Linked DNA regions of Sus scrofa. The protein of the gene in region 1 binds, or shares a complex with, the protein of each later gene. Links are inferred from orthologs where the notes say so. Each region holds a gene or a part of one and is shown on either strand. Other genes may lie near its edges. The genes, in order: TNPO3, CIRBP and SRSF1.

What was found.
Region 2: the proteins of TNPO3 (region 1) and CIRBP are in contact, whole or in part, in a crystal structure (PDB 8CMK), measured with the Homo sapiens proteins. The link is inferred for Sus scrofa from reciprocal best matches to the Homo sapiens genes TNPO3 and CIRBP. Residues at the interface, in NP_036602.1 of Homo sapiens: Arg620, Glu660, Arg661, Cys663, Arg664, Arg667, Phe668, Arg671, Ser698, Cys699, Tyr702, Ser705, Ile706, Asp709, Glu710, Asp747, Asp750, Asp751, Arg754, Arg758; in NP_001271.1 of Homo sapiens: Tyr160, Arg161, Ser163, Tyr164, Asp165, Ser166, Tyr167, Ala168.
Region 3: the proteins of TNPO3 (region 1) and SRSF1 are in contact, whole or in part, in a crystal structure (PDB 4C0O), measured with the Homo sapiens proteins. The link is inferred for Sus scrofa from reciprocal best matches to the Homo sapiens genes TNPO3 and SRSF1. Residues at the interface, in NP_036602.1 of Homo sapiens: His155, Arg157, Arg160, Thr167, Tyr254, Ile256, Glu257, Glu304, Glu340, Ile341, Phe343, Asn344, Tyr347, Arg348, Glu351, His352, Lys355, Thr356, Arg620, Asn656, Glu660, Arg661, Arg664, Arg667, Phe668, Arg671, Ser698, Cys699, Tyr702, Ile706; in NP_008855.1 of Homo sapiens: Ser116, Arg117, Arg118, Ser133, Trp134, Gln135, Lys138, Asp139, Arg142, Glu143, Gly145, Asp146, Cys148, Tyr149, Ala150, Asp151, Val152, Tyr153, Arg154, Val172, Arg173, Asp176, Asn177, Arg181, His183, Tyr189, Ile190, Arg191, Arg198, Pro200.

What each region holds. Positions count from the first base shown.
Region 1 is NC_010460.4:19,631,520-19,635,347, reverse strand, and holds part of TNPO3 (transportin-3), read right to left. Parts: intron 3,600-3,828; coding exon 3,453-3,599; intron 1,043-3,452; coding exon 935-1,042; intron 1-934. UniProt on the Homo sapiens protein: Importin, which transports target proteins into the nucleus. Specifically mediates the nuclear import of splicing factor serine/arginine (SR) proteins, such as RBM4, SFRS1 and SFRS2, by recognizing phosphorylated SR domains.
Region 2 is NC_010444.4:77,191,565-77,195,889, forward strand, and holds the start of CIRBP (cold-inducible RNA-binding protein), read right to left. Parts: upstream 2,810-4,325; 5' UTR 2,680-2,809; intron 1,705-2,679; exon of another isoform or gene 1,610-1,704; 5' UTR 1,604-1,609; coding exon 1,501-1,603; intron 1,413-1,500; coding exon 1,306-1,412; intron 1,213-1,305; coding exon 1,074-1,212; intron 1,001-1,073; coding exon 919-1,000; coding exon of another isoform or gene 915-918; exon of another isoform or gene 806-914; coding exon 688-805; 3' UTR 361-687; coding exon of another isoform or gene 344-360; 3' UTR 1-343. UniProt on the Homo sapiens protein: Cold-inducible mRNA binding protein that plays a protective role in the genotoxic stress response by stabilizing transcripts of genes involved in cell survival. Acts as a translational activator.
Region 3 is NC_010454.4:34,279,025-34,283,652, reverse strand, and holds the start of SRSF1 (serine/arginine-rich splicing factor 1), read left to right. Parts: upstream 1-1,534; 5' UTR 1,535-1,624; coding exon 1,625-1,818; exon of another isoform or gene 1,819-2,245; intron 2,246-2,253; coding exon 2,254-2,438; intron 2,439-2,784; coding exon 2,785-2,957; intron 2,958-3,160; coding exon 3,161-3,355; 3' UTR 3,356-4,628. UniProt on the Homo sapiens protein: Plays a role in preventing exon skipping, ensuring the accuracy of splicing and regulating alternative splicing.

The DNA.
Region 1 (3,828 bases):
CTTGGACAAGACAGATAATTTATGTATATTTGTGGGCTGACGTCTGGAGAAGAACAACCAACTTGTTTAAAGCCACTGAGCCAGTGAGACAAGACTTGAAATCTGATCACAGGTCATCTGCCTGTGATCTGGGGATCTCACCAAATCTGCTTTCTAAGAATCCCCAATTCTCTGTAGTTAGGTCAACAAACATACTCTGCTTAATATAAAGAAAAAGTTATAATCCTAGTAACACTTTCTAGATCAGACGATGTCCCCAAATACACAAAATATCTGGGTTACCACCCCCCCAAATTAGGTTAGTTCAGTATTGCTGACAAAGCATCAAAACTAGTATTTCAGGGTTCAGAGCATGATCCAGCAATATGAAAACCACCCAAAATTAAGCTCATGTTAAGTGATGTGGAATGGTGATGACTGCAGTCTTCGGAGGTAAAACGTTACTGTCAGGAAAATCACAGCACCATGACTCTTCTACTCTAGCATAGTCACCTCTGAGATGAAACGGCAAAGCAATCTAACCGTTCAGTATGAGCAAAGGAAATAAATGCCAAATAACTAAGAGTTGCCAGGAGTTGATACATTAAAGCAGAGAAACTTGCCTATTTTTCCTGGCTAGGTCCAAATTCCCTATAAGTATCTTGGGGGCTTTTAGGTTTATCTGTGATCTTCCATTCCAACTGAACAAGTAGAACAGCTCTCACTAGCAAGAGTAATAGAGTAAACCATAACTGAACCATTCACTGCAATTGGCTTGCAAAATACTAAGTAAATACAGCTACTATATGCCAGGCAGTGTGCTAGGCACTTGCATATCTACTATCCCATTTCGCCATTGAGATTGAAGAAAAAGATGGAACACTTAGAGAAGACACAGAAGTGAACAAAATTAAAATGATCAGTAAAACTGGAAAGAATCTCCAAACGGGCTCACCTGAGCAAAACACTCCATAGACCCAATCAAGAAAATCAAGTCTTTCACCAGGTCTGACACTCTCATCCGAAACTCCCCAAAGTCATCAGTCTCCTCAGGAACCCCCTCCTAAAAATTCAAATCAGGTTAACATTTGTTTTAAACTCACTACAGCTTCCACTGACTTCTATATAATCAAGAATAAAAAAGCCATTAAGCAGTCCAGTCCCAATGAACAAAAGATAAATAGTCTAAATTACAATACAACCTATTCTCTACCTTTCCTATGAGAAACTCTTCTTTTTTTTAAGCATGTCCAAGCTACATCTTGCCCTGTTGTTGGAAAAATTTGGAGTGATAAGGATGGGAAGTGACCTAGAAAAAGTGATAATTTAAGAGTTTATAAGGCTACCTAGATAAGGTCTAGCTTTTTATTACTGAGTTAGCCTCTAAAGTTTTATGGTTCCAGAGCTACCAAAATCAACCTTTATCACAGTAACTAGACACAGAATAGAATTTAAGACTTTAAAAATAATTTTATATAGGTGAATAGATACGTAAGACAGGAATAATATTAATGGTAGAATTTAGGTAGTACGTATATAGATATTCACTATAAAATTAATGCACCTTTGTTGTATATTTGAAATTTTCATGAAAAAACACAGAGATCGGAGTTCCTATTGTGGCTCAGCAGTTAACAAACCCAACTAGGATCCACGAGGACTTGGGTTCGATCCCTGGCCTCTCTCAGTGGGTTAAGGATCTGACGTTGCCATGAGCTGTGGTATAGGTTGCAGATGCAGCTGGGATCATGTGTTGCTGTGGCTCTGGCATAGGCCAGTGGCTACAGTTCCCTAGTCTGGGAACCTCCATATGCCTCAGGTACAGCCCTAAAGAGACAAAAAGACAAAAAGACACACACACACACAAAAAGAGAGATCTTTTATATTTTATGCTTCTTAAGTTTTTCTTATTCCAACACACTCCTGTGAGTAAACTGAGGCTTATGAACTGTGAGGTGGTTAAGGGCATGTATAAGAATCTTGGATCACAAGTATGGGGAAAGCCCTTACAGTTCTCATACAGTTCAACCGCTTTGCTTTAAGATGAAAAAACTAAGGTCAAGGAAGGAAACAATGGCTGTTTCAGACAAGATAATGAGTTACAAAGCACTATCAGTAACAAGTGGAAGGAATTACCTGCAAGGGAAATAGTGCCACAAACCTACCTAGCAAAGGGAAGAACAGGATCAAGCAAGCTCAGCCATTTAAACCAGAGAGGCCCTGCTTATTTACATATCAGGGTTTCAAGTTAAGATGTATTTCAAGATAAGACTCCTCAGTTTGTTTTAAAAAAGTACTGATGGAGTTCCCGTCGTGGCGCAGTGGTTAACGAACCCGACTAGGAACCATGAGGTTGCGGGTTCGATCCCTGCCCTTGCTCAGTGGGTTAACGATCCGGCGTTGCCGTGAGCTGTGGTATAGGTTGCAGACGCGGCTCGGATTCAGCGTTGCTGTGGCTCTGGTGTAGGCTGGTGGCTATAGCTCCGATTCGACCCCTAGTCTGGGAACCTCCATATGCCGCGGGAGCGGCCCAAGAAATAGCAAAAAAAGACAAAAAAAATAAATAAATAAAACATAAAATAAAAAAGTACTGAAAACCACTAAACCAAATCATCATGAAGGTTCTGTGGAAATACAAAATACTATAATGCAAATGACAGTGTTAACATTAAAATGAACAGAATACAGTTTTCATGTCAGATTTAATTGTATGCAATAAGGAAAAAAAACCCACTAGGTTGAAGTACAGGGATATTCAACCAACCAACCAAAAGGATAAAATAAATGCTTTAAAATGTGAAGAGACTAAGCAAAGAATGAGGTTGAAGAGTCTTCCAATGGACTATTTTATATGATCTCTAGTATATTTTCTTTTAAGCAAATATTTATTTTCTTTTAAAATTATAAAGTTAATATAAATAATATAAAGAAAAATGGGCACATATGTGGAGGGGGAATCATATATTATTCTCTACATCCTCACACAAATATTCCACTTTTATGTTAGTTTTAATTCAACCACATATTTTATGCTATTAAAAATATAAAGTTTCACATTCTTTTTTCATCTAGCATACCAACCACTGCTATTTCAAATCATTATTTTTAACTGCTGCATTAGGGTCCATCAAGTTGCTACATCATGATTTATGTAACTCTTCTAACACTCTTGCACATGGGTTTACCATTTTTACTTTTATAGACAATGCTTTGTACATTAAAAAGCAATTTTTTCCTCCTGCAAAACTATTTAAGGTGAATTCCCAGAAGAATTACTGGCTCAGCAGGATTAATTTTTTTCTACACAAGCCTAGCACTTTTCATTATACTGGTGTTGACTTCTTCAGTGTAAGCTATAGAGTGACAGAAAACCTGTAGATTCCATTAGCTTTATTCTCTATCTTTTCAGTTCCTTTTCAAGTTTACACCAAAAAGAGGAGGAAATCAAGATTTAAGCAGAGAAGAAAACTTACATGATCTGGTTCCAGCTGGCAGTGGCGAGCCAAGGCATGAAGCAGTCTTTGAATGTAAGCTTTGAAGATGCCATGAATAACTTCGTCATTAGTTTTGTACAAATGCTCCCCTAGTCGGTACCAAAAGTTAAAGGAAATTTCTACTACCTATTAAATTAAAAGAAAGAGAAAAGATGGTTTATTTGAATTAGAAAAGAAGATAGTTTTATTATTATAATGGCCATATAGGAAAGAAACGATTTTAAATACTATGAATGGAACCAGTTAAGAAGCCACCTATCTAGCAGATTTATTATTATCCTCCCAAATTATCTTCCCATGTTAGGTCTAAAACTCCACTTAAGAAGATTGGCCCTACATTCTCCATTTAGCACTA
Region 2 (4,325 bases), on another chromosome or scaffold:
CCACGAAAAAGAGAAAAAAGGCAACACAACCCAAACTCAAACTCTCGCAACCCTCAATGATTTTTCTAAAAAGCTCATGGCTCACGATAAAAAGTAAAACCTGAAGTGCTTTGCAAAACATGTTCAAAATCCTCAAAAACAGATGGCACTTCTTTAAAAAGAAAAGTGTAATAATGAGGCCATCTGGGGTCAGAAGCAGTCAGGCTGTGTTTGACAAGATAGGAACTGATAAGACTACAAAAGTGGGTACAAGGAGGTGGATTCACTACACATTAACGATTCAGCGGAGCTCCCAAAATCTTTAAATATACAGCCATTGGAAGGACGATCTTGAGCAGGATTTTTACTCGTTGTGTGTAGCTGAGAAGAAGAAGCAGGCACAGTGTAAAGGCACTGAAGCACGCGACAGGACGCAGCATTCCACGCCCGGGCCCAGACCTGGGGGCTCAGCCCTGCGGCCTCGGGGGCAACCAACCCCCCCACGGCCGAGGGTGGCGGGCGACGGCAGGCCCACATGCACTTATGCTGCCTGCTCCGTGGGCCCTCGCTCTCCCTTTCCTTCTTGGTCAATCTAGTTTCACGATTATGTTTGTGGTAGAAATGGCTGCTGGCACCAAGACCCAGGAGGGCAGTCTTGGACCTTGTGGGCAAGCAGTGAGCAGGTCTGAGCGCTGCCCACAAAGGGCACTAAGGCTCACTGTGCTCCCACTGCAGGCCCTCAGAGCGCCACTTACCGTAACTGTCGTAGCTGTCTCTGTAGGACCCGCCTGAGCTCCGGTCACCATAGCTGCCACCCTGACTCCGGCTGTAGGAAGGACATGGGTGGGCGCTGGACGGTACCTTAGGCTACTTAGAGCAGCCCACATGCCAGCATCCAGGCAGACACCCTTGGCCCCTAGATGGGCCCACCACCCTCACCTGCTGTAGTAGTCCCTGGAGCCGCCATAGCCCCCACTCCTGGACTCGAACCGGCTACCACCATAGCCTCGATCCCCTCCTCCTATACAGAGACAAGAAGTGAGTGTCAGCTCTTGAAGCAGTGCCCCCACCTCTTCCCTGCAAGTGGCACTCACCTCTGGAGAACCCACGGCCCCGGCCTCGGCCCCCACGGAAGAAGCCCCGGCCCCCCGAGGAGCCACCTCGGTACCCACGGGATCGGTTATCAGATGACTTCCCGGCCTGGTCAACCCGGATCTGCCGCCCATCCACAGACTGGAGACCAGAAGTCGATATGGTTAGCCCCCGCACCTCCTGCACTCAGGTTGCAGCCCGGACCTTCTAGACCCCAGGACAGCCGCCTCTCACCTTCCCGTTCATGGCCATCATAGCGTCCTTGGCGTCATCAATGTTCTCAAAGGTGACAAACCCAAAGCCCCTCGATCGCTGGGTCTCCCTGTCCTTCACTACTACCACTGTGCAAGGGAGAGGTCTGAGGTCAGTACCCAGCTCTCCCTGTGAGCGGCCTTGCTCAGCTGCCAGCCAATCTGGAACCAGCCTCACCTTCTGAGATCTGCCCATATTTTGAGAAGACCTGCTCCAGCGACTGCTCATTGGTGTCAAAGCTCAGCCCTCCAACGAAAAGTTTGCCCTCGTCTGATGCCATGGTCACCTGTGGCAAACACCACTGAAATCCTCAGAGGTCCTGCAGGGGCCGGGAGAATCACCCCCTCGCCGTTTTTTACTTTAGACAAATAACACACGCTCCTGGGACAAACATTGGAAAATTGCTTTTGTGCCCTTTAACCATCCCAAGCTCATACCTAGGGCTTAATTCAAACAAGCCCTTGATTCCTTTATCACTCCCCCTTGCCCCTTTTCTGTGCTTGGGCCAACTCCACTCCCGAAATTGGGGGCTCCCGGAAGGCTAGGGCCAGACCGCGGTTCTGCAGCAAGCACTCTTCAGTGCTGCCTGGATTTGGGACCCCAAAACTCCAGCTACGCTGACACCCTCTCAGGACGTTTAGGGCTGGACAATGAAGGAAGGCATCAATCTCCACTGCCACCGGCTGAGTGCACACTGGCTTCTGTCTTTTGCTAACATGTCGGGGGGTGGGGAGGGAGCTAACTTCTAACCCTCTCTATTATACAGGGGCGGCAAAGTGCTTGGTCTACTGTAGGGTGCTATGATGTTAAAAAGGAGCGGGATGTGGGGAGGTGCTGACTTAAAGCGACCCTTTACAGGAAAGGGGCCTGCGCTGAATGACTCCAAAACCAGGCCTGAAGACGACCCGCAGCCTTGCAACCCCTTGCAAGTTTGGGCCCAAACCTGGGGATCGGAGAGTGGGCGGCACCCATGATGTGCCGCCCTCACACAACTCCAACAGGAAAGAGGGGAGTAGCCCCGGCCCCGCCCCCGCGCATGCGCCCCGCCTGCGGCTTGCGCCACTCCATCCGGGTACCCGGGGCTCCCGCCATTTCGCTGGGCGCAGCCTCGCTCTCGCGGCCGCCATTTTACGGCGGTGACCCGCTCGCGGCGCTCTAGCCCGCGGAGGACGTCCTCCGGCCGCGGCACGGCCCGGTCTCCGCAACCCCTCTCCGCCGGCGGAGCGGACTCCACCCCGGACCCGCCCCGGTACCGCCCCCCGCCCAGGGGCGTGCTGCCACCGCCCCGCCTTGGCCGGCCCGCCTTGGCCGCCCGCCGCCCCGGGCCCGCGGAGCCGGTACCGCCAGGGCCCTCACCACTGAGTTGGGCAGGTCCCTGGCGCAGGCGGGAAGACAGCACAGCACAACGGCCTGAGCCTTCTAACGCGCGAATGAGGGGGGGCAGTTTCCGGGTACGGCCTTTTGTACGCTGCCGCTGGGACCCGCCCCCCCTAAGCCCGCCCCCATCCCCCCCTCCCCGAGTCGGCCAATCCAGGGCCCCTGAGGGCGTGGCTGTGCCTCACATTTATGAGTTGGGGGGCTGGGCCTGTGCCGACCCCGCCCCCTCCCGCGTGCTGGCGGGGGTCAAAGTGCCTGGCGGGGATGCGCATGGTCTGCAGTCTCCAGACCATGACGGGGGGCGGGGCCAGCGCGCTGCTGGGCGGAGCTGACCCACTTCCGCGTGCCAGTCCCTGGCCTGCGGCGGGGAACAAAAGGGGTTCAGGCTGCTGCTTCCTCCTGGGAAAGCTCCCTGGCCGCTGCAACCCCGTCCTTTGCAGTGCTCCAATAATCGCCCACATAGGACCTCAGCCAGATCCCCATACGCACCTGAGGATCAGCTCTCAGACACCCCAACTGATGAATCCTGACATCAGTTCTTATATATTTGCCAACGTGTAACCGACACCCCAGAGTGCCCAGAACCCAATGCTCCTGAATGTCCCGCTTAACGTGACTGGCCCCAAAGCCCTCCCAAAAATATTCGTCATGATCCCATTCTTCCTACTTTACAACTTTGGGGTACCCCAATTTCACCCAACCCAGTTTGCCTACAAATCCCAACTTGCATCCTGACTTCACTCCGTCTAGTGCAACGCCCACACCCCCAGTCAGCTGGCCAGACCCTTTTGTGCATCCCAGCACTAGATGGCTGGCTGACCTTGTCCTGGCCTCTCAAACCCACAATTGGGCGCAGCCCTGAGTCCCACTGGACCTCAACATTCAGCTCAGCCCCCGCCTCCCCTTAATCACGTGCTCCAGCACCCCCCCCAACACTATTCTGCACTCCCTTGGCTCCTCCCCCTGAATCTTTTTCCTGTATGAAAGTCCGAATCCGGAGGCCTCTGCAACAGGAGAACCAGGTTTGCAGGGATCTTTACCCCCAGGGCTGCTCCTCTGGATCCCCATGCCCTCTTTATGGGAGCCCCTCTCACGGCCACCACTTTCACCCTGCCCAGGCCTTGGTTACACTACCTTCTGTGTCGCAGAACCCTCCATGGGGTGGAAAAAGCTTGCACAGCTGCTTAAGGGTAGCGAGTTGCCTGCTGAGGCGAGGGTTTCATCTCCTGCCTGGTGCAGTGGGTTAAGGATCTGGCACTGTTGCAGCTGTGGCAGGTATTCAATCCCTGGCTGAGGAAATTCCATCTGCTGCTGGTGCAGGCATAAAATTAACAACAACAAAATGCTAGTGTAGACCCCTGCCTGCCCAGACCAGAGGCCCAAGCTATATCCCTAGAAAGTCTTAAAAGGGCAGACCCTCTGCATAAAAACAGGGGGATTTTAGAGCAGAGACCCATGCTTTGCTTTGCTGCCTGCCCCAGAAAAGTTCCAGTCCCACTCCAGGAGCCAGACTCTGTCACACCATAGTGACAGAGTCTGGCTCTGGATCTAGCTGATGCAGTAGGGACCTGAGCATGGACGCTGACTCCTGTAACAGGATCGTTGGGACACCTCCTTGGCTCAGG
Region 3 (4,628 bases), on another chromosome or scaffold:
ATTACTGAGAACACTGTTAAAATACATGCAATCGCCTTTTAGAACTGAAAACATGACCTTCTGAAAAATCTTTTTAAGGCACTTTGGATCTTGAATATACTGTTTCCTTCTTTACTGTGACTGCCATGATGACTAGGGTCAAATTTGTAATCCATCTTTAGAACTCACAAATTTTTACTGCAGCCATTTTGTGTATTAACTTTATCCATGACTTCATTTTAATTTCCCCTTATATTCTCCGTGATTTCTCCATTCAATTGCAATAACGTTTTCTGGTATCTCTGTAAACAGCATCACATCACTGGGGAGAGGGATTGATGCGAATAAATAAAAATGAAGAAAATCATCCTCTCAATCAGGGTGCAGACCTGTTTCAGCATATTTATGACAGGGTTTTTTTTTTAATTTGAATTCACCATTAATATTTTAAAATCCCAGTATTTCATATAAAAATCCAGATTTCAGATGGCTCCGTGGCAAAATGTAACAAGTTCTTATCTCCCTGGACCAACATGCTGGCGAGATGAGTCCTTAAGCCGCCACTTCGGTCTCCAGTGGTCACAGAAATCCTCACACATCCACTTTGCTCATTCATATTACCTGAGAGATTTGCTAATGAGTTCCAAAAAAGGAAGGAACGTCAGGATTCTGCAATACAAACAGGAGGGCGCGCGTCTTTTTCGTTCTTTGAAAGACGTTGTAGAAATAACAGACACAATTCATTCTGCAAACCTTCACTGGACCTCTCCGCTGCGCTGGGCCCTGGCGATAGGTGATTTAAAAAAGAAGCAGAGGTCTGGGTCCTGGTTGGCTGATGCCGCCAGGAATTACCGCCACGAGCACAAGGAGCGTTGAACTGAGGTCAGTTCTGAACCGAAGGTGGAACGGTACTTAGCGTAGAATATTTATTAAAGCGTCTCAGCCAGGTTCCCCTGCATTAGACAGTCGTCCAAGCAGTCCACGGCCCGTTCGCAGATGGGGCGGGAAGACAAAGTCACGTCTCGGCTCCGCGTTGATTCACCCGCAACGCGACTCCTGAACGAGGTGCACTCTCCAAGGATGCCCGTGTTTCCGGAGCAACCGCCTGGTCCCTCCCCCTTTGACTCCGCCCCCGGCAGTCTTTCCCGCCAAAGGCCGTTAACAGCGCAGAGCATGGTGGGACCTAGCTTTAGGCTAGGTTTCACCAAATACTTTCAAGACGCCGTTTTTTTGAGAGAAACATTCCTGAGGAAACTGCTGATTCTTTAGGATTCGACAGAGATTAATAACCCCTTTTACGAGAGCTCTATATTTAATTTTGCCACAAGGCTGGTCACTCCCTTATTAAACCCCTCGACAAATCGGGAAGGCGGGAACTTTTTTCCCTTCGCGCGGAGGGTGACGTCGCGCTTGCGCGAGCGTCACTCTCGCAGCACCCGTTACGCTCTTGCGCGTGCGTAGTGAGATCGAATAGCTGCTTCCTCCCGCTTCTCTTCCTCCCTCCCCCCCATATCCGTGCGCCGAGCTGATAAAGGCGCCATTTTGGAGGGGCCGCGGGAGACGTGGTGTCGCTGCGGGCTCGCTCTCCCGCTCGCTAGGCTTGGTGGGAAGGCCTGTTCTCGAGTCCGCGCTTTTCGTCGCCGCCATGTCGGGAGGTGGTGTGATCCGTGGCCCGGCAGGGAACAACGATTGCCGCATCTACGTGGGTAACTTACCTCCAGACATCCGAACCAAGGACATTGAGGACGTGTTCTACAAATACGGTGCTATCCGCGACATCGACCTGAAGAATCGCCGCGGAGGACCGCCCTTCGCCTTCGTTGAGTTCGAGGACCCGCGGTGAGGCGGCCAGGGGCTTGCGGCCTTGAGGAAATAGGTTGGAGTAGTTGGGGAAGGCTCCGGGGCCTTCACTTGGGGAATGGGGCGGTGGGTTCTTGGGTTGGGGGCCAGACGATATCGCCCATGCAGGAGTCGAGTAAGGAGCCGAGTCGGCGTGGCTCCTCTGGTGGCCGGGCCCCACGGACGTCCCTAGAGCCGACTCGCAGGCTCGGAGCGGGAAACTGAGGCGCCGAGGGCTGCTGGAGTGGTCGGGAGCCTGGCGTGCTTCTGGGTGGGGGAGGGGCCGTTCCTATTATGCGGCGCATGTGGGCTCTTCCACCCCGGTGCGCATGTGCGGGGGCCCGCTCGCTCCCCGGCGGAGTGAGCCGCCCCTCCTGGCCCTTTTTTTTTTTTTTTCTTCTTTTCCTTACCCCTTGGCTTTCTCTGGTCACGCAGAGACGCAGAAGACGCGGTGTATGGTCGCGACGGCTATGATTACGATGGATACCGTCTGCGGGTGGAGTTTCCTCGAAGCGGCCGTGGTACCGGCCGAGGCGGCGGCGGGGGTGGTGGCGGCGGGGCTCCCCGAGGGCGCTATGGCCCCCCATCCAGGCGTTCTGAAAACAGAGTGGTTGTCTCTGGTGAGTTGGCGGGTCCGTGCGGATTGATGATAAGGGGACCGCACACCGTTTTGAAGTTTTTCTTGGTGTTTTCATGCCAGGTCTTCACTTAAACCGGAGTGCCTTGGGTGACTTTAGTTAACAAGGACTACTCTATTTGAGACTTAGCGAATTAGGTTGCAGTACCTAGAAGATAAGAAGAGCCTTAACTTTACAAATAATTTTGGACTCTTGATTCCGAACTCTTTTAACAGCTCGTTAAACGGGATGTTAAAGACCGTTGGTTTTAAGTCTTGTTTTAATGTAACCTTTATGTTTAATGTGAAACTTAGGATAATTGGTATTGAAAGAAAACGCACTTTTTCAGGACTGCCTCCAAGTGGAAGCTGGCAGGATTTGAAGGATCACATGCGTGAAGCAGGTGATGTATGTTATGCTGATGTTTACCGAGATGGCACTGGTGTCGTGGAGTTTGTACGGAAAGAAGATATGACCTATGCAGTTCGAAAACTGGATAACACTAAGTTTAGATCTCATGAGGTAGGTTATATTCTTTTCCTTGGCCAGAATTGGATACAGTGGTCTTAACAGTGGAATTTGAAGGTAAGATTCAGGCAAGGGTGTCCAAGTAAAAACCCAGTAAAGTGCCAGATTTCTGGTTTGAGTTACGTTGATTCATTCAGCATGCCTGAAGACAGGTGAAAGCTTAGATCTTTCAATCGAAAGTTCTGTCTATCCAATAGGGAGAAACTGCCTACATCCGGGTTAAAGTTGATGGGCCCAGAAGTCCAAGTTATGGAAGATCTCGATCTCGAAGCCGTAGTCGTAGCAGAAGCCGTAGCAGAAGCAACAGCAGGAGTCGCAGTTATTCCCCAAGGAGAAGCAGAGGATCACCACGCTATTCTCCCCGTCATAGCAGATCTCGCTCTCGTACATAAGATGATTGGTGACACTTTTTTGTAGAACCCATGTTGTATACAGTTTTCCTTTATTCAGTACAATCTTTTCATTTTTTAATTCAAAACTGTTTTTGTTCAGAGTGGGCTAAAGTGTTGAATTGCATTCTTGTGTAATATCCCCTTGCTCCTAACATCTACATTCCCCTCATGTCTGATAAATTGTATTTTAAGTGATGTCATAGACAGGATTGTTTAAATTTAGTTAACTCTCCATGCTCTTCAGACTGTGATACTGTGTAAATGTCTATTCTGCTCTGGTTTGTGTGAACTGGGATGTTGGGGGTGTTGGTGGTTATCTTACCTGGGGAAGTTCTTATGTTTATCTTGCTTTTCATGTGTCTTTCTGTAGACATATCTGAAGAGATGGATTAAGAATGCTTTGGATTAAGGATTGTGGAGCACATTTCAATCATTTTAGGATTGTCAAAAGGAGGATTGAGGAGGATCAGATCAATAATGGAGGCAATGGTATGACTCCAAGTGCTATTGTCACAGATGAAATTGGCAGTATTGACCTTATACTAAAAGGCAAGGGTTTAAAGTGATTATATACATCTATCTTAAAACACTTGAAAACATTTTATGCAGTTATATTTGGCTACAATTGCTTTACTCTTTAAAACTCTGGCAATTGTGGCAAAATTACATGGCCCATTTTGTAACAATTTGTTTTGCTCCCTTCCCTTTTTTGTTTTATTAGGGACTAATGTGGGAAGAACTGATTAATTTGTCACAGTGCTTAGTTACAACTGTTAATGTGTGACCTGCTGTTGGTGTACTTGTGGGTACAGGGTGTCTTTAATTCCAACCAGATAGAGTATAATATCAATACTGCTAAATCTGCATGTCCTCTGTGTGACTGATATAATAGCGTTGCTACTTCATTTTTTTAAGACAAAATGAAAGCAAAATAATAGAATTCCAATTTATTGGTGTAGATAATCTAGTTGGGAATACTTTTTAAGTCTCACGTTCCCCTTTAATATTCATAATTGACTCATGTTTAAAACACTTTAATTTACAAATTAAATTGCAGTTGGGAGCATTAGATTTAGTTTAGACTTAGGTGGGTAGCAATACCAGTAAACTTTTAAACTACATAACTTTTTGCAACCACAAAACCTGTAATACGCTGTACAGTAACAAGTGTTGGCATTATCAGTTGAACTGTAAATATAAAATGCTTCTTCCAGTTAGTCTCTATGATGATTAAGTTTCTAAAATTTATCTGAACACCATTCAGAAACTTGTT